2 linked regions of the Caenorhabditis elegans genome follow. The protein of the gene in region 1 purifies or fractionates together with the protein of each later gene. This does not show direct contact. Each region holds a gene or a part of one and is shown on either strand. Other genes may lie near its edges.

Region 1 (12,350 bases):
TCTAGAAAGTTCTGGAACATTCCAGAAATTTCCCGACTTTTCTAGAAAGTTCTGGAACATTCCAGAATTTTCTCGATTTTTCTAGAAAGTTCTGGAACATTCCAGAATTTTCTCGATTTTTCTAGAAAGTTCTGGAACATTCCAGAAATTTCCCGATTTTTCTAGAAAGTTCTGGAACATTACAGAAATTTCCAGATTTTTCTAGAAAGTTTTGGAACATTCCAGAATTTTCTCGATTTTTCTAGAAAGTTCTGGAACATTCCAAAATTTTCCCGATTTTTCAAGAAAGTTCTGGAACATTCCAGAAATTTCCCGATTTTTCTAGAAAGTTCTGGAACATTACAGAAATTTCCCGATTTTTCTAGAAAGTTCTGGAACATTCCAGAATTTTCCCAATTTTTCTAGAAAGTTCTGGACCATTCCAGACTTTTCCCAATTTTTCTAGAAAGTTCTGGAACATTCCAGAAATTTCCCAATTTTTCTAGAAAGTTCTGGAACATTCTAGACTTTTCCCAATTTTTCTAGAAAGTTCCGGAACATTACAGAAATTTCCCGATTTTTCTAGAAAGTTCTGGAACATTCCAGAAATGTCCCGATTTTTCTAGAAAGTTCTGGAACATTCCAGAATTTTCCCAATTTTTCTAGAAAGTTCTGGAACATTCCAGAATTTTAGAATTTTCAGAAAATTTCAATTTCCCGCAAAAATATTTTTCACAGAAAATTTAAATTTCCCTCCAAAATATTTTTCACAGAAAATTTAAATTTCCCTCCAAAATATTTTTCACAGAAAATTTAAATTTCCCGCCAAAATATTATTCACAGAAAATTTAAATTTCCCGCCAAAATATTTTTCACAGAAAATTTAAATTTCCCTCCAAAATATTTTTCTCAGAAAATTTAAATTTCCCGCCAAAATATTTTTCACAGAAAATTTAAATTTCCCGCCAAAATTTTGGGTTTGGGTCTCACCACGACGGGTCTCGTCACGATGGGTCTCACCACGATGGGTCTCGCCACGATGGGTCTCACCACGATGGGTCTCGCCACGATGGGTCTCACCACGAAGGGTCTCACCACGAAGGGTCTCGCCACGAAGGGTCTCGTCACGATGGGTCTCACCACGATGGGTCTCGCCACGATGGGTCTCACCACGATGGGTCTCGCCACGATGGGTCTCACCACGAAGGGTCTCACCACGAAGGGTCTCGCCACGAAGGGTCTCACCACGAAAGGTCTCACCACGAAGGGTCTCACCACGAAGGGTCTCACCACGAAGGATCTTACCACGAAGGGTCTCACCACGAAGGGTCTCACCACGAAGGGTCTCACCACGAAGGGTCTCACCACGAAGGGTCTCACCACGAAGGGTCTCACCACGAAGGGTCTCGCCACGAAAGGTCTCGCAACGAAGGGTCTCACCACGAAGGGTCTCACCACGAAGGGTCTCGCCACGAAGGGTCTCACCACGAAGGGTCTCACCACGAAGGGTCTCACCACGAAGGATCAAACCACGAAGGGTCTCACCACGAAAGGTCTCGCCACGAAAGGTCTCTCAACGAAGGGTCTCACCACGAAGGGTCTCGCCACGAAGGGTCTCACCACGAAGGGTCTCATCACGAAGGGTCTCACCACGAAGGATCTTACCACGAAGGGTCTCACCACGAAAGGTCTCATAGGTTTTTTATAAGTAAATGACTTAAAAGTAACAGGTTTTCCAAAAAATGGAAATTACAAGTTCATCAAAATTTGACTGATTGATTTTATTCCAGATAATCAATCTACCGGTCATTGTGAATTCACAGAATAAATAAGTTCACAACATTATTTTTCACTATTCATAAATGGCAACATTTATTTTTTAGTAGAAAACAGGTTTAAGCGTTTTTTTTTTTGCTCTTCAACACTCAATTGTTGCTTCGGTTCAAGCTTTTTGTCATTTTCTGCTTATTTTTCTGCATATTCATGGCGTTTCAAAAATTCCTAAATCTGAAATTCCCTAAAAATCCGAATATTGGAATTTCATATTCACAAAGGTTTATTCATAAGCAATTTCCAATATTAAATGCAATTTAATTAAGATCTGTTTCACGTTGTCGACAAGTTGGTCAGCCTTATTTCTTCATGCTCCGCTTTATTTTTGCATTCTTCTCCTTTCTTTTTTTCTTCGCCTCCTGGAAATACATTAATTAATTGATTAATCTCGAAAAGTTTCTATAAATTTGAATACCCACTTACATTCTTTTGGTCTTCTGTCATGTTTGCCCGCCTTTCTCTTTCTCGCTCATTTTTAATTAATTTTTTTCTGCCGCTTCACCTTCTCCTTAAGACGCTCCTCCCCCTATAGGCTCAATATATTTCTTTGTGAGCGATTAACAAATACATTAATTTTGGTGATAAATAAAAATTTACAGATTGTAAACGCTGAATAAAGGGGGAGGGGAGTGGAGAAAAGAGCACAAGAAATTGAGAGAGAGAGCGAGAAAAAAAAAGAAAAGAAGGAAGGACTGCAAAAGGACTGGAAATTGTTTTAAAAGATTGTTGGGATGGAGGAATATAAATTGATTTGTGCGGAAAACTTGCCAGATAATCAAAAATGACACCGACTAAGAAAAAACTCAAAATATAGCAGACACCAAAAAAGGCTGCATCTCGCTATGTGCCTTCTATTAATTTTTTAGTCTTGAGAAAAAAATGTGAGTAAAACATGTTGATCAATATTGTTCGATTTACGAAAATTTATTTGTAGTGAATCATAAAAATCGATCAAAAGGTTCAATTCGTCACTTCAAGTTGAGTTCTCTGAAATAAAATAGTTTTTATCACATTTTTTTGGAATTATTTTGTCACTAAGTGATCAAAAAAACAATAATTCAAGCGTCTCAAAAATTCTATCTGAAACAGTAATTTTCTTCAAAAAAACGAACACTTTGACAAATCTCCGAACTCTTCTCCAAACCTCTCTACAGTTCTCAACATTGTCGTGAGCCGCTCCTGGAACCCATTCTGGAGCCACCTGCAATTTCGAGCAATTAATTATAATTTAAGAATTTGATGGATATGAAAACATGCAAAATACTGATTACGGTTAAGCTTTTTGTTTTACATTGACAACTGAACAAGTGGGTGCAGTGAACAAGAAAATATCATAAGCTACATATTAAACAACTACACTGAAACAGTGGAAATTTTTTTTCTGAATTTTTTCATGTTGCTTTCAATTTTGATGCCTAAATATTTTGCTCACAAGATAGAAACGACCACTTTTCCGCAGACCCAAATTTGGCCCCAAAAACAGGAATTTTGCAGAGCACCGGACATCTAACGGGCTCGGCCGCAGCTGATGCATAGTGTGTGGTGAAGCCCGGAAAATGTCGGGTGCTGTTCATTTCAAGTTTACCTTTGTAATTGCCCGTTGACAAATCAATTTTCCGTGTTCAACTGGCACCGTTTTGTCCGCTTTCCCATGAATAACAAGAATTGGAATTTGAATTTCGTGAATCTGAATTACTTTTTTTTCTAAAAAAATTTTAAAAAAAGTTTCAACCTTATCAATAGTCACAAATCGATCGATACAACACGTCTTTTTCTCCAAATGTTTCGTCCTTCCCATCATTCCACCAATTACTCTTAATATCGATGTGGGCGGAGCTTGAAGTATTACTCCGGCGGGCTTTTGGTCCTGTTCATGACGTAGTAGTTCTATGGTTGCAGCTGAGCCAATGGAATAGCCGAGGAGCACTATCTTTTTTGGATCCACACGTTTTTCAAGGGTTATGTGCTGAAACAGGGAAAAATTGAAGAGAATATATTTGAAAGCAATGGAAAACCAAACCAACAGTTTGTTTAAAATCTCAAAACATTTATAAAATACCTGAAACGGTAATTTTTCACAAACTCTATTATTCTCAAATATTGGTCAATTTTGGCTCAAAAATGATTTTTTTTTCAATATATAAAAAGTTACCTCGTAAATAGCTTGAATATCAGAATACAGATTGGATTCACTTGCAATACCTCCACTAATACCGTAACCAGTGTAATCATAACTATAAACTTCACATCGATAGAATCTTGCAATGTCAATCAGTGATGGAATTCCAATTAAATGATCCGATAGATCTGAGCCATTTGGATGAGAATATAGAAGAGTGAAACGAGGTGCAAAACCATCTGGACATCCTACATACACACATCCTATTTTCTGCAATATTTATCGATTTGCCACTAAAAATATAGATTAATGCAAAATTTGAAAACTAGTTGAAACAGTCAAAAAGTTAAAAACAATTATTTTAGTGAATTTTTTCTCTTTTTATAAAAGTAATTACGACAATTAATTTGAGATTTTTTTTAGGCCGCCTAAAAACAAGAAAAATTTGGAAACTGGTCAGTCACCAGATACCGACTATTAAAAATTGATACTTTATGAAAAAAGTACGCTCAAAAAATTCCAATGTTTTCAAAAAAGATCTCCCTCATGTAATGTCATAGCTTTTTTTTCCCAAATACACAAACTTTGTGAAACCGACAATAAATTTAATGTGAAACCACTTTTAAATCAACATAGATTATGTTTCAAAAATTACAGTTTCACATTTTCCATATATATCTATAAAATAATTAGGTATTAGTCAATACTCCACTGTACACCCCCTCCCCCACTCACATTTTTATTCTTCGTCTTCAACACAAAACCTCGAACATATTTGACGTCATCAGCACACGGATGACTCAATCCAAATTGATAATATTCTCCAATTACACATTTCTTTGCTTTTTTCAACTTTTTCAATTTCTTTTTTCGGTTTTGCATAAGAATTGCCTCGGCTTCATCGTTCACCTCAATTATGACGTCATCTGGTGGAGGTTTGAAGAAATAATATTCACGACGGGGTGGCCAGAATGCGGACTGTAATTTAAATTTATTTGAGAATTTTAAAATTTCTAAGAACTTTAAAAATCTAATAAATAAAATAAAAACTAAAATCTTAGAAAGTCGTTTCATAAACAAAATGAAAATTGTTCTGCTGTTCACATGTGCATTTTATTGTGAAAAAATAAAACTTTCTCAAAATTTTGTGATAAAATTAAAAAATAATTTGCCTGGGTCTAGAAAACTAGAAATATTCAGACAGTTTTACGGTTTTTTTTTAATTTGAAAAGTTTTCTGTTTCAAGAAAAATATAAGTTAACTACTGAAAAATTATCTGTTCGATCTATAGATGACATTCAAAAAATCTAATTGTGATTTGCTAACTTAATGCGAAATTAAACATTTTTGTAGCCCGACATCTGCCGGGTTTTTCCTATGAACATATCCATTCACAGAACCCGCCAACGGTCGGGCGCTACCCAAAAATTCAAACTCACTCTCTGAATAATACAGCAGCACGGTGGACAGCAGGCGACAAACACGACATGTTTAACACGATGCCATGTACCTTTAAATCTGTCAAATGCGTCAGTGATACGGTAGCAACGTGGCAATGGACATACACAGATTCGCTGCAGTTTTTTGGCTCTGAAAATTGGAAGAATTATGGAAATTTTAAATAAAAATTTTCGGTTTCAAAGTTGACGTATTTTCAGAATTATCTTTTTCTGATGATAAAGACTGTATATTTTTTGAGTTATCAATATTGGCAGAATAATTACAGAGAAACAAAGTAGTGTAAATTTTAGAATTCAATTCTTCATACCTGCATTTTTCAATTTTCTCCAAAAACCAATCCTCATCTCTCAGTGTTCTATCATTCTTCACTACGTCTGCATCGACATTCACAGCTCCTTCTTCAAGCTCGTTTTCTGGAAAAATGAATCACATTTTATCTTTTTTGGACAGCGCAATTATAGGCCAATTTCACTATTAAAAATCAGTTAAAATAATCAAAATTTGAAAATATTGTGAAACCGACGACGTGCCCGAAGCTTTAATCTAAGTACAAAGAAGCTAGCCAATGAAGAAAAACTGCTGAATTGAAAATTGCTGGTAATAGACTTGATAAATGACTTTTGACTTTTCGAAACTGTCGATTTTTTTTTGCATTTTCGAAAAATATTCTGAATCAAAATACCTTGGAATCACAAAAAATTGTTCTTGAAAATATATTAAAATGGATTCAGAAAAACCAAATAATTTAAATTGAAATTCCCGCCCACTCACTTTTGTACTGTACTCTTCTCGATGAATATCCAGACAGAATCACTGCGTTTCGATGATTTTCACTTCTATTTTCTCCGTCGATTTTCAATTTTTGAGAGGTTTCAGAGAATTCTTGCGTTTTATCAAGTGATAACAGAGATTTGTTTATCGATTTTTGACGAGTAGGACTTCTATTCGCTGGAACGGCTGTAATTATGATCTCATCAAAAAAGAAATGAATACGAAAAGTTTGAAACAGTAATCTTTTGTTAAAAACTTTTTTCTGACAAATTCTGAAACTGCAATCAAAACTCAAACTTCCTCTCTGTAAAAGCAAAAAAACTTACATTTTCTGGACTTTTCCTCAAACAACTTGACACCTGACTCCACATTTTTCTGCTTCGGATCTTTATTTGATTTCGACATTCAAGAAAATTAATTTAAAAATATTGAGAAATGATTCAAAATTTGTTTTTTATTTCAAAATGAACAAGCAAAATAAGAATAAAAAAATAAGTAGACTTTGACGTTTTGAATAGAAACATAATGAACTTTGGCACAGTGCCAAGTTGTGTTTATATGTTGTTATTAGTGTTGGTAACTGCTACAGAAACTGCTGTAGTATCTTCGACGCGCTGAAATTAAAAAAAAACTTAAACTAATAATTTTTATGATAAAATGAAAATTACTGTTCCATTAAAAAGCAATTTCCGGAACCCTTTCCGAATTGTGTCGTTTATTGTGATGTAGATAAGAGCCGGACAGCCGTGATTTACACACCAACAGTACTGACCTGGAAAATTGAATTTTCGGAAAAAAATGTACTGTTTCAGAAAACCAACTTAAATGTTTTCGAAGTTTGGGTGCAATTCGATATCTTGACAAGTCACAATTTAGTTCTTCAAAAAAAAAAACAAGAAATAATCATTGTTTCAAAACTTTGAAATAAATTCATTCAATTTTTTCGTTTGTTTTTTGGCCTATGATGATGCAAAGAAAACTTCATATTATTTTTCGGAAAACGGAGATTTTTTACTGTTTGAAACTTTTTGAATTTTAAAATCCGAATTTTATTTTTCAGAATTTAAAAATGTTCTCCTTTTTTCCTAACAATTTCCAAAACATTTTTCAAATTTTAAAACTTCCCCTCAAAACCTACCTAAAAGTAAAACCCAGGGATCCGGTGTGATAAGTGTAAAAGAGTTGTAAATCAGTGCACATGTAGTGTTAAAGAAACAAATTATTATGCATTGAACAAGAATCTGCAATTTTTATTTTTTAGTTTTTAGTGAAACAGGAAAATAAAAAAAATATTTCAAAAAAAAAATCCAACTCACCGCAGTGGAGGCTTTCGACTTCTGTCCTCTTGCAATTTTTCTCACTTTCAAAAAATAAATGACATATAACAAAACCATCGCCGTCACAAAAATCCAATTATGCCATCCTTGAGATCTATTCTTATAATATTCAGCTGCTTCTTTACTGGGCTCTTTTTCAGAAAATGGATCTGGAAACCATGCCATTCCACCAGAATTGAAGCATAATGTTGGTGTAAAGAATACATAATAGAAACCGTAAATAATACTAAGAATTATGGAAAAATATGCAAGTTTTGCTTCGATTAGGTCGGAATATTGGGGAAGGGTTATGTTGACAATTCGGTTGATGAAGAGGAATAGGGTACATGCACAGGATGTACACCATGTTGCTGAAAGATAAGAGTGGGTTACTGTAGGATTACTGTCGGACTACTGTAACCAAATTATGCATTTACAGCGGGGTTATCCGTTACTGTTACAGTCTTTTTGAGAAATTACTGTTTGCTTGAAGTAGTAGGACGATTGTAGATTTACAATAAAATATTGTTAGGTGATAGATAACTTTTGAATGAAATCAGTGAACGATTAATATTGGGTTACTGTGGACTGTATCAAAGCTAACGTAAAAAAATCCAGTTTTAAAAAGTAGTAAAAATAAGAAGTTGGCATGTTTCATGATGTCTTCAGAAATAAGCTAATGCCGATTTCACTATTATGTAGGCTATAGGAATTCCCATGAAAACTTACTCAATACAATTGTGCCAGTTATATAAATGAAACTCGGATAGGAACAAAACACGGCTCCTTGAATAAATAGACTTCCACTGATGAAACAGCTGCACACTGAAAAATATTTTTACTGTTTCAGAATGTTGATTTGAACAATTTGGATAATTAACTGCAATGTGAAGCGAGATTGTTCAACAAAATATTATAAATTTATTAATTAATCAGAGTACGCGATCGACCTTCATAAGTAACTAAAATACACAGAAAATTTGAACTTAAAATTGATAAAAATAATAATTGAAATTTTTTTTTGAAATGTTTCAATTAGTTTTTACATGTTCTTTTGAATATTTCCTTAAATTTTGACCAAATTGAAAACAAAAACACAAATGGAAAAAAAATTATTTTGGGTATCAAAAATGAGAAAAAAACCTAAACAGTTTAAAATTTTCAATTATAAAAAAAAAATACAAAAACTTTGAAAGAAATGAATTGTAACAAATATTAATTACATTTTTATTGTTGTATTGAAAACTGGAAAAAATTTATAAAAATTGTTTCAACTGTTTCAGAATGTTGATTTGAATAATTTGAATAATTAACTGCAATTCGAAGGTCAACAAAATATTATTATTAATTTCTGATTGTGAGAGATTGTGTTTGACCCTCATAAGGAATTGAAACACACATAGGCACTGAAATTCACACGTGGTATTAGACTGTCCCATTACAGTTTCATCTACAAAAATGCGGGAATTTGTTGGCAGAAAAATTGTGACGTCATCACGTTCTTAACCATGCAAAATCAGATGAGGTGCCTGCGTCTCACCTTCCGCATTTTTCGAAGATCAAAGCAAAATGGGACTTTATAACTCCACGTGAGTTCAAAGTTATTTTGAATTTTAACAAAATTGAAAAATGTGTGAATTGTTTCAATTAGTTGATAATTTTTCTTTGAAGTTTTCATTAGGCATTTCCATAATGAAAATACCCTTCGATAATAATTTTTCATTGCTATCAAAACAAAAAAAACCTTAACAGTTTAGAACCTAAAATGAAGCGCACCTTGTTTATTGAACTTAAAATGTGGTACATAGTTTTCAATTATAAAAACTGTGAAAATGAAAAAAAAAACGTTCAAAGATGAATCGTCACACAACTCTTAATTAAATTTTTTTATTGTACTGAAAACTGGACAAATATAATTAAAAATTTTTCAACTGTTTCAGAATGTTGATTTGAATGCTTTGGCTAATTGACAGCGTTAAACAGGACTTAATCTACATACTGAATTTTGTTAAAGAGCAAAACCTTAAATAAACTCAATGAAACATACCAGTAGCAATCATATCAATAATTGACAGAAATACAATAATTTTATAGCAAGAATGCCTTATCAGCTTTGTTTTAAAAATTAAATAAATAATCGGTGGATACAGAAACTCGATAAAAACTCCAAAAATCATAATAGAATAACCAAGAAATGGACGTTTGACTCCAGTTTCAAACCATTCAGATTTCCAACTACAATTGTAAAAAGGAATTGCTTCAACACTACCGTAGTACAGAAGACGATTCATTTTCATAGATTTTGGTGGAAATTTTTGATTTATATAGTCTTGATCATTGCTGTATGTTTTTGTGATTTTCCATGAATTGAAATTCCTAGAAAAACATCAAAACAAATATATTTTTCCAGTTATGAAGTTCTCTTGAATACCATCAAATTTTCTATAAAATAGACAATTCAAATGGAAAGTCTAGACCATTTTTCTGATAAATTGGTAACTTGACTTCCTAAGTTACAAAAAAATAAGTTTTCAAACCTGCTCTATTGACAAACCACCGTGAACTCTACTAGATAGTTGTGTGTTAGTTGGAACCTAAATATTTGTTCAATTTTTAAACAATTTAAAGTAAAATCCAATCGTTTTTAAAACGATCACAAAATTTGAAATTTCAAAAATGATTTTTTTTTCAAAAATAAAGACTTCCTTTACAATTTTTATATAGTTTTTTTAGAATATAAAATGAAACATTACATTAGAATGAAGTTGGTCAATATTATACTGAGAATTTAGAAAGGAATGGTAACTTCATTGATTGGCACACAAATATTTTTACATTTTTGATGATGTCTTATAAGTTTCAAAAACTTTACTGGTTATTGTTCGAGACATCGTGGAAAAATAAAATTGACATTCAAAATGTGATGTACAGAAGCAATCACAATGCAACATTGGAAAAAATGGATATCACTGGTGGAAATTGGTTTTTAAATGAATTTACTGTTTCAAAAAGTTTCTGAAAATGAAAGTTAAAAAATCCAGTAATGTTCTGAGTTCTATATTGGGAATTAATTTTGCATTATTGATTCAAAAAGTAATATTTTCGGTTTTCTGAATTGAAATTTACCAAAATTATCTTACAGTTTCAAATGTTTATCTTAATTTTCGAAATGATCAAGTGTTGTTAGTCATCATTTGACGTAACTATTCTAAAGCTATTTTTTGGTAAAAAAAAATGTTCTGTTTCTGCATTAGCTCTTAAGATTAAACATTTGAAATTCATCATTCTCTTCACATCTCTGTCTCCACAATTTTTTTCAATAACTTGCTGCAATTATTCATGTTCCTAAATTCCATGAAAACGTCTTCCATTCTGACATCCTTGTTATTGGCACAAAATGGTGTTGAATAAGAGTAATTTGGGGAGAAATGGCGAGAATAAATAATGATGGTTGATGGATGTCTGATGATGACTAAACTTCCGTGAATAGAAGGAGTAAATAATCAAAGATTTCTGGTCGAAAAGTGTTTAAAAGGAAATTTGAAATCGTCTAGTATGGTGATCTACAACAAAGTTTTTACTGTTCCTTCCGGCAATTTTTTGTTAGAAAAATGTATTAAATGAAATTTAAATAACATATTCTAAAACTAATAAAATGTATTAGTTTCAACTCATCAATCCCGATCATAAAATTTCTGATATAAAATTTTTTCACTGTTTCCAGCTTTTTACATAAAACAAGAGTTGAACGTTGTTCCGTTTTTTTTTAACTGTACATTTTCCATAGAGTTAAGCAAAAAATTTGATTACTAATGCCAATTTTTATCACTAAAACTATTGAAAACTCATTGAAAAGTGGAGCGCATATAATTTCTGGACAATTCTAGAAAAATTTGAAATTTCAAAAAAAATTTCCCTTTTTTCTAGAAAGTTTCAAATCCTTTTAACTTTTTTATGAAGATATGACAGTTTATTTCATTCGTCAATACACTCACAAGTAACTAAGTCACTAAGTATGTCACGAGTATTAATGGATGAAATAAATTGTCATATTTTCATAAAAAATTAATGATTTGAAACTTAAAAAAAAAAAAAAGAAAGTAGTAAAACTAAAAAATTACAATCCATATACTGTAGATTTCAAACAGTAAATTTTCGAAATTTTGAATTTTGGTGTCATATAAGTTAGTAAGTTAGTGTTGTATACCACCTTCTAGAAAGAGCTGAATCAAAATAGCAACTATTTCACAATTATCAATATTTTCCAAACTGAACTGCATTATACGTTGGGTAGACACAGAAAACGGCTCCCATCATCAAAAGGTGAGTGATAAGATATGCAGTTGCAGTCATCAATTTTAAAAATATTAAGATCTTGTAACACATATTCTGATAAAATGAATATCAAGTAGAAAATTGGAAAATATTGAAATTTAAAAACAATTATGTTTCAATCAGTTTTCAAAAAAAAAACTTTTGCTTTTAGAATGCAATTTTAAGATTCTCTCTATTTTTGTTTAAAAATTGCAAAACTGATTGGCCTTTTACGTTCGTATCTAGTTTCCTAGTTTCTAGTAGTTCCAGTTAGTAGAACTAGTTTTCCAGATAATCTACCAAGAAGTTTTTATACAAAATTAACTTTCGAGGAAAAACAGACAGAGGATTACGAGGACCTAATTCATCGTCCATAGAACATCATTCAGAAGCAGGTTTTTTTTGTGAATTTAAGAAATTCATTTTTAAACTTTTTTATGATGACAGATTGTGTCTATATTTGTTTCAAGAATTTAAAAATAATATTCATTAAAACGTAGTCTTATATACCACCTACTAGAAACAGTTAAAGTTATGTTTCAGAAAAACGTAAGTCC
Region 2 (9,523 bases), 2.5 Mb from region 1:
GGGATTTCTGCTTACACTAACTATAAGAAAGTTCAAATATATTTTAATAAGAAGTGTATTAGATAATTAAATTTTAAAAAATTCACTCAAAATCACTGCAATTCTTCCACGCGATATTCCATTCGGATTTTCTCATACGTGCAAACAAACACGTGGAACTTCCAATGAAATCAATATAACTTTATTTCTGTTTTACACTCGCGGAGAATATGGTTAAATCTACAAAGAAAGCGAAGCAGGAAATGGTAAGAGTATATCAGAATCAGACGGCTGGCAAATCGGATGTTTCTCTTTTTTTATGCTGCAATGGTTTACCAAGAATGATTTTTTTGGCGGGGCAAAACCTGAATTTTTTGTAGTTGAGTTGCACTCGCGCTCCAACGCAAATTGAAAACCATAATTTGGTGGTCGTTATGTATGTTAAACTGTGATCTCGATTTCTTATTATGGATGGGACCGTTTTCATTTGACATTGGAGCACAATTGCACTTCCATCTCAAAATACACAGTGTTGGCTCGCTATAATGAAATTCAAAAAAATCTGATACGCAGAAAGGAAAGCCAAAAAAAAGCATAACGTCCGACTTGTTAGCCTCACTCGGACGGCAACTTTCTATCTATACTTCAATTTTTATACAGAATTCCCAACCTGAACAATCAGCAACATTTGACATTTCCTTTATCATCTCAATGCTCGAATCCTCATGCCGTATTCAACTGTCCACAGCTCTACACTTTTTTCGTAAAGCTTTTGCCAATCAGTCAGATTTATCGAACATCGCTCTGAAGGAGCAGTTTTATGGAAGAATTGTTAGTTCCGACGAAATTGTTTCAATTAATTCAAACTCTTTTTTTTAGAAGAATGGCGTTCTCAATGCTCTTCGTAATCAAACGTTAGACATTGACAGTGAGGTTAACGCTGTTTGGATTATCACTAATATGTGTTGTATTAGCCAGGAAGTTACTCACTTGTTTGTAAACTCGGTCAGTCTGAAAATTGATTTTTAGGAAAATTGTTTTTTTTTCAGAATTGTCTAGATATCTTGATCAAACTCGTTCGGTCTCAAAACGCTCGTCTCTCAAGTCAAACTGTTTGGGCAATTGCAAATATTGCAGCTGATTGTTCTTCGTGCAAATTGAAATGTAGATCACCTAAACTTTTGAAGGTAATTATAAGGGTTTGTAGGACATTTTAGAATCCATCCACAGCACAAATGAAAACAACTGTTACGGCTGCATTTAGGCGCTTTAGGCAGGCGCTTCAGGCAAGCGTCTGGCCTTTGAAAGCATGCCTGTCTACCATGTCTAAATAAATTCCAACTTCAGATACTCGCCAGAAACTTACAAACGTCGTATAAACTCGACGATGCAGACCGACGCCAACTCATTTGGTGTGTCAATAATATTTTTTCCGGTGGCCGAACAACGATGCCATCACCAGTAGCTCGTTCACTTATTTGTGCTTTGTCTGCAATTTTACTCGACACAGACGCTGTCGATAATATGGGATGTGGTTCAATGATTTTATGGACTCTTGCCAATTTGGTTGACAACTCACTAGATACCACACGGGTTTGTTTTCGGATTATTGTTAATCAAAGTTCTTTACTAAAACTTTCAGATCGACATGCTTCTTTCCCAAAACTACGTTGTTGAGCATATTCTCGAAAAATTTATTGATCAAACGGACAAGTCATGCAATGTTTCATGCCTCCGCCTTATTGGAAATATTGCAGTCGGGAATGATGTTCAGACTGATCTGTTGGTTGATAATCCCAAGTTTAGAGTTGTTATGGTACGTTTTTGACATCAAAATTGAAAATTAAAAATATTTTTTCAGAATATTGCAATGTCATCTCCGGAGCATCACAGTGAAGCCGCATGGATCATATCAAACGTTGTTGCCGGTGCTCCAAGACACGTGGATTACAGTTAGTTTTATATTTATTTGATTACTGAATAGGATCTATGTTTTCAGTAATGGATGATCCAGATGCTTTCTATGAATGGGTGATGGCTGGGATTCATACTGGAGACAAACGCTTGAGAAAGGTAAGCTGATATAAAATTATATGAACAGTATTTTATTTATTAGACATGCACCACCATTGTTTTACATTGACAGGGCATATATCTCGATTCACTTCCGTTTTATCAAAAAATTGTCAACTGAAGAAATACGTGCAAAATGTTTTTCTACGTTTTGATAGTGAAATTGTTTGATAACACTTGAGACAGTCAAGATATGAGCCGTCAAAGTGAATTAATGAGGGTGCAAGTACAATAGAGACAATACTGTAGTTAGCTTTGAACACATCTTTTGAAACAAAATTTATTTTCGAGCTTAGAAATTATCTATGGTTATTTCAGGAATGTCTGTGGATTATTGGAAATCTATTGGCAACTGCAGATGAGCATCAAACGTATCTTCTCGTCTCCTTAGGAATAGTACAGCATTTTCCAGCTCTTCTCGATTTTGATGATGTTCGTTTGAATGAAAAGGCGGCGACAACTGCAACTGAACTGCTCCGTGAGCATCCATGGCAGTACACATTGTTCCAACGTTTGGATATTTTGGGATGTATTGAGAGAGCTGGAGCAAACGTTAGTTGAATATCCTTAGACTTAACAATCCGTGTGTTTCAGTTTTCGATTCAAAAAGCCGAACTGAAATCTTTGATGAATGACTTGGCGCCACCTGAACGGAAAGATGAAGATATTGCCAAAGGATGTTCTGTGATTTGCTACAGCAAGCTCTCAGACGACTTTCACAGCATGAGCATTTGAATTTACTCGTTTGAAAATAAAAATACGAATTTTGATTGTGTAGGTTTAAAATATCAACCCATCAATCAGCAGAAAATGTTGTCTAATTACGTTTCTGTGATATTTAAAATTACTTGAACATTTCCAATACACCTGTTTTTATTTGTTCACTCGAATTCCAATCAGATTACTGACAGATTACTGGCTCTTCAACTGCGATTTTTCTACCGGTTTGTGTACTCTTTTTGGACAATTAGATGTTATGTGCACTTCCTGAACAGGTGCATAAACAATTGATGAGATGATGATGAATAGATGGATTAGGAATGGGGGAAAGAGGATTTTAAATGTTTTTGGAACATAGGGGGTAATTACCGGTAATTGATTTTTTCCAAATTTCTTCACTCCTAAAATATTTCAAGTTTTCAGGCAACAAAATGTGAGAAAAAGGATTTTTTTAAAGTTAAATATGATCAGTAAAGTGTCGGCTTCCATGATTTTTACAAATACACAATTATTATAACATCTCTTTTAGGTTTTTAGGTAGATTTGCATTAACTTTGCCAAAACTATTCGACTCTTCCAACTACAAAAATGTTTTCCAGTTTGAATTCAAATACCCGTCGTCCTTTTCTATTTGCCAATTTCCGGCGGCAATGTGATGGGATAGTGATATGACAATCTGTTACTCATTCCTTTTGGCGGTTTTTGTAAGGAACAAAAGCACTTTTTCTAGATTTGAATTTGAGTTGGGGAGATGTTGAACGACGACGATGAGCTGTTAGATGTTTTAAATCTTGAATTGTATAGTAATTCATAAGATTAAAAATCAGAAAACTTAAAAACTTAAATTTGAATATAAATATACCATAACTTTATGTCATCGATAAAAATTGGTCACACAGTAAAAACCGAGGGTTGCTGTACCTGGCAGTAGTCTGAAAAAATCAAATGTTAATGAAAATTTCGAATATTAAAAAATTTAAAACATTGCCTAAGTTAAAATTTTCGAAATGCTGAAATGCTTTGGGTGTAATATTTGTTAAGCATATTTCTAGTGAATTTTGTAGTTAAAAATTTCAACACTTTGATTTCGCAATCCCGTCACCCATCTTTTCCCTCTGGGTCTCACGATTTCCCCATACTTTCCAATAATCTTTCCTGTCAACATTCCCATTTCACATGACATTTTCAATTTTAATACTACCTTACTCATAGTCAACATCACTATTTCAGAATTCCACACTTATAAACATTATTGATGATAAAAACTCTTTGATAAGAAATTGATACAAAAACCCTCCTCAGTGCCTGCAATTTCAGTGGTTACTTGTACTGCTAAAATCAATTGCTTTGAACTGAAAATGCCAATGGGCAAGAAGTTGTGTAAGTTTTTAAAGTCGAGAAAAATTTGAAAATGCTCAAATTTACAGTGGGAAAGCTTAAGAGAAATAAGGTGGAGGAGCCACAGGTGGAGCCGGAGGAGGATTTGGGAGATGCTATGAGTACGCAAGGTTAGTAAGGAATTACATTTGACTTTTAGTGTTGAGCGTCGATTGTAGTGTTCGGAAAATTTTAGTTCACTGAACGGTATAGCAAATACGCAAATTTGACGCGAAAACTTTATAAACAACAGATTTGACGAGCAAATTATCGTAATAAATCTATGTGATAAGTCTAGTTTACGTTTGGCAGATTATATTACATACTCGAATGAGATTCGCAAATTTCAGAAAAAGATGACGTGAAAGTTGGGAAGAAAAGAGCCCCGAAGAATAACATGGGTGGAAAGAAACGACTGAGATCCAAGCTGGGAAATGTTGGGAAACACCAGAAAAGGGTACGCTCCAAGGAAAACACTCCGGAAAGAAAGCTGGAAAAATTGGAGAAACTCGAACTTCAACTGACCTTAAAACGAAGTCGAGAGGAGCAGAAACGAGCCAAAAAAGATAAGAAACTGGAGAGAAAAGCACTGAAGATTCAAAAAAAGTTGGAAGCTTTGAGAAGCATCAAGGAAAAACCACATCAAGGCTCTGAAGCACAAGGGCCAAAAGTCCCCAGAGCCAGAAAGATCCGGGTACCAGCCCCAAGACCACCCCGTCTTCCATATTTGGCTCTAGTCGCCAATCTTCATAAGGCTCCGAAAGCATTGCGTGATATGAGAGCTGCTGCTTCACGCCGTTAGTGTGGGCTTTGGATCATTTGGAAGAAAAAAAAATTGTTAAGTGGAAAATTAATAAGAAGAATATGAATCTGGATGTCAAATTTAATTTGTGGACGTTTTGAATTTTTCACTTTGAAGTTTTTATTTGTTAATAAAAAATGTTTGATTCAAAATTTACAAATTTCAAATCAGCATACCAAAATCTTCGAAATGTAATCATGATTCATGAGAGGTCTCGCCATGAAAACTAATGGTTATGGTAGATTTTTTCAATCTTATTCGAAATTTCAATTTGAAACTTGATCTTCAAAGTGAGACCACATTTCCCACTAACGTTTTTTATCTGCTCACTATCAGATCAAATTTAAGATTCAGAAAACTTGCTAGCTACAGTAACCGACACGTTTTGTAGTGAGACCCGATCTGCTTCGTAAAAATTCACATCTGCCTTGTAAGGAGACCTACACCTGATTCCTGCCTACAAAACGTGCCTATAGACTTGCAAAATTATTTCCGATCCTTTAATTGTTTGCAAAAATTCAGATGCCTAGGCAGTAGGCAAGCTTGTAGGCAGGCAAGAATACAGTAGGAGGAAACGTGCTTGCCTACTGGAATTTGGGAAATTTCTTCATAATCCGGTAAATTAAATTTTAAGGAGAATTCAGACTGTTCCCACAGCAATTTAAATCCACTTCCCTTTCCAAATTTCTGTGTCTCACTCCACTTTTGTTATAATTTTACGAATTTTTATTGCTTCCCCTTTTCCTAATTTACAGTATTCCTTGTTATCGAAAATATGTATGAATTCTGAGAAAAATTGGTCAAAAAATATAAAAAGACAAAAAACAATTAGCAGCCCCAGACCATCTCGACAATTTCCCCCATTCATTCTTACTTCCTCCCCACCATCATGGGACAATGCCTTGCCGTTCATCGCCGAATCATGGCGTCACAGGAGTTTCCGAATATTCCTCAGCCGGAGTCGCAGTGTCATGATGCATTTATCCGGTATTCCCCAGGAAGATACGAACGTCGGGCTGCACGATCCCAAGTCGACTATTATCTACTCCCACAGGCACCGCGGTTGATGACTGAGGATTTGGATAAGAAAGAGTTTCAGCGACTCTATGATGCTCGTTGTGAGCTCGTTGAGGTGAGATCTTTCACAATTTAATTTTGAAAAAAACCTTCAATAATTTCAGTGTCCAGCCGGAAGGCGTGCAATGCAACTGGATGTTCAGATCTATGCGGATCGTTATGAGGCGACGCTCAACAAGATTTTGGAGACTTCTCAAGAGCTTGACAAAGGCCTTGAAGACATTTTCCAGGCCTACACAAAAGATGATCCACTGGCTGATAAGGTTATGGTGAGTGGTATTTCGGAAGGGATTAAGGGAAATCAGACGGGTTGCGTAACTGTCAAAATCATTCATTCTGGCGCGCCAAAGTCATGCCCAACTATTGCCCAAGTTTAGCCAACTTCTAATCCAAGTTAATATTTTTTGGGTCAAACTTGGACAAGAAGCTAGAGCCAGATCCCGGGAATGTATCAATATGATCAAATTCCTTAACCTCTATTTTACATGAAAAATTTAATTATATTTAGAACTGCCGCTTGACCGTCGACGAAATGGGACGAGTGTACGAGCACTTCTTCCGCGAATCGGCATGGAACCTTGACAGCTTCGTGGAGTACCGGAAGAATCTGGCACGAGATGCCTACTTGCTGCTTGCGGATCTGAAAATCGCAATCCAACGTCTCGGCATGCACTTCAATCCGAACTTTGAAGACGCGCAAGTCAAGGTGGACTTCCAGATTATGCAGGCCGAGCAGATCATCTTTCACTTCAAAAGGACATACAGGGACGCACTGAAGCACAACCCTGACTCGATTACAGAGTTTGTGGAGGACGAGCTGGAAGATCCTGGAACACCGTTGTAATTTTTATTGTCATTCTTTTTCTGCCGTTTTCTTATCCTTCCCCATTAGTTACTGTAGTTCAGTCTTTTTTGAATTTCAATAAAACTACAACAAAATCAACATTTTTCAGTAATACATAATATTCTTTAATTTTGCAATGTATGTCTAGACAGCCAAGAGTTAGAAGAATTATAGAAAAGGAAGCAATTGTAAAGAAAAAAATACTTTTCGAACTTCGGTTTTCATATTATGTATAATCATGGGACGAATAAAAAGACAGAAAAAAATAATTTAAAAACAATATTTTAATAATTTTGATACAGTGGCCAAGAGGTTTCGTGGTAGGATCCTAGGCAAGAAATGGGTCCTGAGTAGATGTGAAACTTTTAAATTTATAAGCCTTAGATTTGGAAATTTAGATTTGTTTTCAAAATGAAAACATCCGATTTAAGATTAAAATTGAGTGAAACTTGTTGAGAGATTTAAATTATGTCACCATATATTCCAATTGAACAGAATTTTGTGGTTGCTGACCAAGTCTGATGATGAGCCAAAGTATATGGCTAAAAAAAGTAAAAACTACTTGTTCTTCCTGATGCGTCGGTATTGATATTTGACTGTAATCACAAAAACCTTAAACTTCGAAAAATCGAGTACATTTTTCAGCACATGTGTCGTGCGGTGATCTCAACTCATAATTACGCCCAACTTCGAATCCCTGAATTATACCTCATGTGATGCCACATTTTCTCAATTGCTCGTCATGTCTAGCAAAGTGTGTCTGAATTTTATTTCATAACAAATTATAGCAAAAACGTGTAGTTTTGCTGTTTCGCACACTTGATGCTGTTACCATAAATCTGAATCAGTTTTTGAGAGCAGATTTTCAAACGGTTTCAAGTTTTTCAATTTTTTTTGGAAACTCACATCTTAAACCTTGAGTATTTCTTACAAAAACATTTTCCTAATTTTTAAAAACTTTTCATGACGCATGAATGAATGCAAATAACGGAATTTCCAACTTTTACAAAATTTAATTTTAAATTTGAGAAGATTATTGTGGTTATTTTAAAAAAAACATCAACCTTAGCTTTCCGTAAAATGATTTCCGATTTTCCAATTGTTAGATAATTATATTTTCACCTATTTTTTTATGCGGAACCAATATTTGATATTGCAAAAACCATTACCCTTTTTATGAGCTGTTTACCATTTATAATTCCCAGTATTTGCCAATTCAAAATTTCCCACCGGGAAAGTCCTTGTTTTTCTACATTTTCTGTTTTCTGCAACCATTAAAACACTTTTTCATAAAATGCATCATCTTTTGTACATATGTCTTGTGAGGAGCACTACTCATAATTACTCTAAGTTTTGAATCACTGTGTGTTGCCAGGTTTTCATAATTGCGTGTCTAGTAATCTTTCCCTGACATTTTTCAATGAAAAATTCTAGCAAAAAAAACAAGGTTTTGAGGAAAGATAAGCTTTTTGGCAACAAAATAATGCTCTAATGTAAAGATGTAGAGGAGCATAATTTTAACTTCTAACCTACATTTATTTTTAGCAGATTTAGTCAAAAAATATGCACTCTCTTCTCACCTTTTTTACCCTAATCTAATCACCAAAATGAAACATTTCCAGTCTTTAACCCTCGCAAAATTTATTATTCAAATCAAGATAATTTGGGTTATTTTGGAAACGGAAATGTCTAGAAAAACGTGCGCTTTTTAAGTTTAACTGCACTCATGAGCATATCAATTAGGATTTGGTCAATTTTGCGTTTTATCTATTTCCTCAAATTAATATTTTTCTTGCTCATTTATGACATATTTTAGACGTTTCAAATAAATTTAAAAATTCCAGAGATTTTAATTTATGGACATTATGAACAATGTATCAATTCAAGGAGATCAACGATATATCGACTATAAATTTGATTTTTTCACATTTCCAGTGCTTGTTGCATGTGTTCCGATGACATACTTAGTACCAACTGCGTTTATTATTTTAAAAGTTTTCAAATGTTACTATAGGAATTTGGTTGGAAAACAGGAAGCAACTATGAATCCACACGTATTTTTTGTGATTGTTATGGCTCAGCTTACGGTGGGGTTTGAGAGAAAAATAAACTAAAGTGGTTTCGCAAATTCCCGAAGAAATTTAAAAAAGAAAAATCCGACAAACGTTCCTTTGTATTTTTCATTAAAAAATTTTAACACCTATTTGTGAACGTGTCCTGTGAATTTTCAAAGCTCTCTGATACTCTTTTGCTTTAGTATTATCTTATAGTCAGTATTTTAAAGCAATTTACCCATCGCAGCGACAAGATTAACTTCAAAAACACATAAAGTTCATGAAATGGTTCTTATTTTCAGAGCGTATTTTACATGATATCTGATTATATCACTATCCGTCTCCCATTCACCGGAATCATGACATCTTGGTGTGCATCTCAACAACCAAATCATTTCCTAAAAGTCTTATTTTTCTTTTCTATATATTTCACTTATGTTTCATGGCTATTTCCATTCCTTTTATCAACGTTACGATTGATTCCCGTTTATTTCCCGCGCAGACATAATCAAGTAACTCATGTTTTAATATTCAATTGCTAAATTTTTTTTAGCTATGCGCCCGGCTATCTAATTTTGCAATTCCATTCATCTACCT

The links.
Region 2: the proteins of Y41E3.18 (region 1) and F53B2.8 fractionate together in Caenorhabditis elegans (co-fractionation; one large-scale study listed by BioGRID). This does not show direct contact.

Annotation. Positions count from the first base shown.
Region 1 is NC_003282.8:15,059,149-15,071,498, forward strand, and holds Y41E3.18 (Serine aminopeptidase S33 domain-containing protein), read right to left. Parts: upstream 6,606-12,350; 5' UTR 6,569-6,605; coding exon 6,490-6,568; intron 6,356-6,489; exon of another isoform or gene 6,350-6,355; coding exon 6,164-6,349; intron 5,867-6,163; exon of another isoform or gene 5,846-5,866; intron 5,806-5,845; coding exon 5,700-5,805; intron 5,630-5,699; exon of another isoform or gene 5,609-5,629; intron 5,522-5,608; coding exon 5,371-5,521; intron 5,237-5,370; exon of another isoform or gene 5,212-5,236; intron 4,910-5,211; coding exon 4,667-4,909; intron 4,657-4,666; exon of another isoform or gene 4,632-4,656; intron 4,483-4,631; exon of another isoform or gene 4,462-4,482; intron 4,225-4,461; exon of another isoform or gene 4,203-4,224; intron 4,202-4,202; coding exon 3,965-4,201; intron 3,835-3,964; exon of another isoform or gene 3,811-3,834; intron 3,779-3,810; coding exon 3,545-3,778; intron 3,500-3,544; coding exon 3,398-3,499; intron 3,133-3,397; exon of another isoform or gene 3,112-3,132; intron 3,014-3,111; coding exon 2,925-3,013; intron 2,855-2,924; exon of another isoform or gene 2,834-2,854; intron 2,800-2,833; coding exon 2,781-2,799; and 2 more. Other genes in the region: srt-48 (Serpentine Receptor, class T), read right to left, coding at 6,718-6,777, 6,832-6,935, 7,302-7,404, 7,480-7,850, 8,209-8,304, 9,527-9,770.
Region 2 is NC_003282.8:12,521,827-12,531,349, reverse strand, and holds F53B2.8 (Coiled-coil domain-containing protein 86), read left to right. Parts: upstream 1-3,953; 5' UTR 3,954-4,130; coding exon 4,131-4,152; intron 4,153-4,199; coding exon 4,200-4,280; intron 4,281-4,499; coding exon 4,500-4,951; 3' UTR 4,952-5,119; downstream 5,120-9,523. Other genes in the region: F53B2.5 (Importin subunit alpha), read left to right, coding at 210-245, 640-810, 859-984, 1,029-1,166, 1,327-1,572, 1,622-1,795, 1,841-1,931, 1,979-2,052 and 2 more; Protein eak-4, read left to right, coding at 5,841-6,083, 6,133-6,297, 6,537-6,872; sru-13 (Serpentine Receptor, class U), read left to right, coding at 8,729-8,959, 9,229-9,438, 9,480-9,523.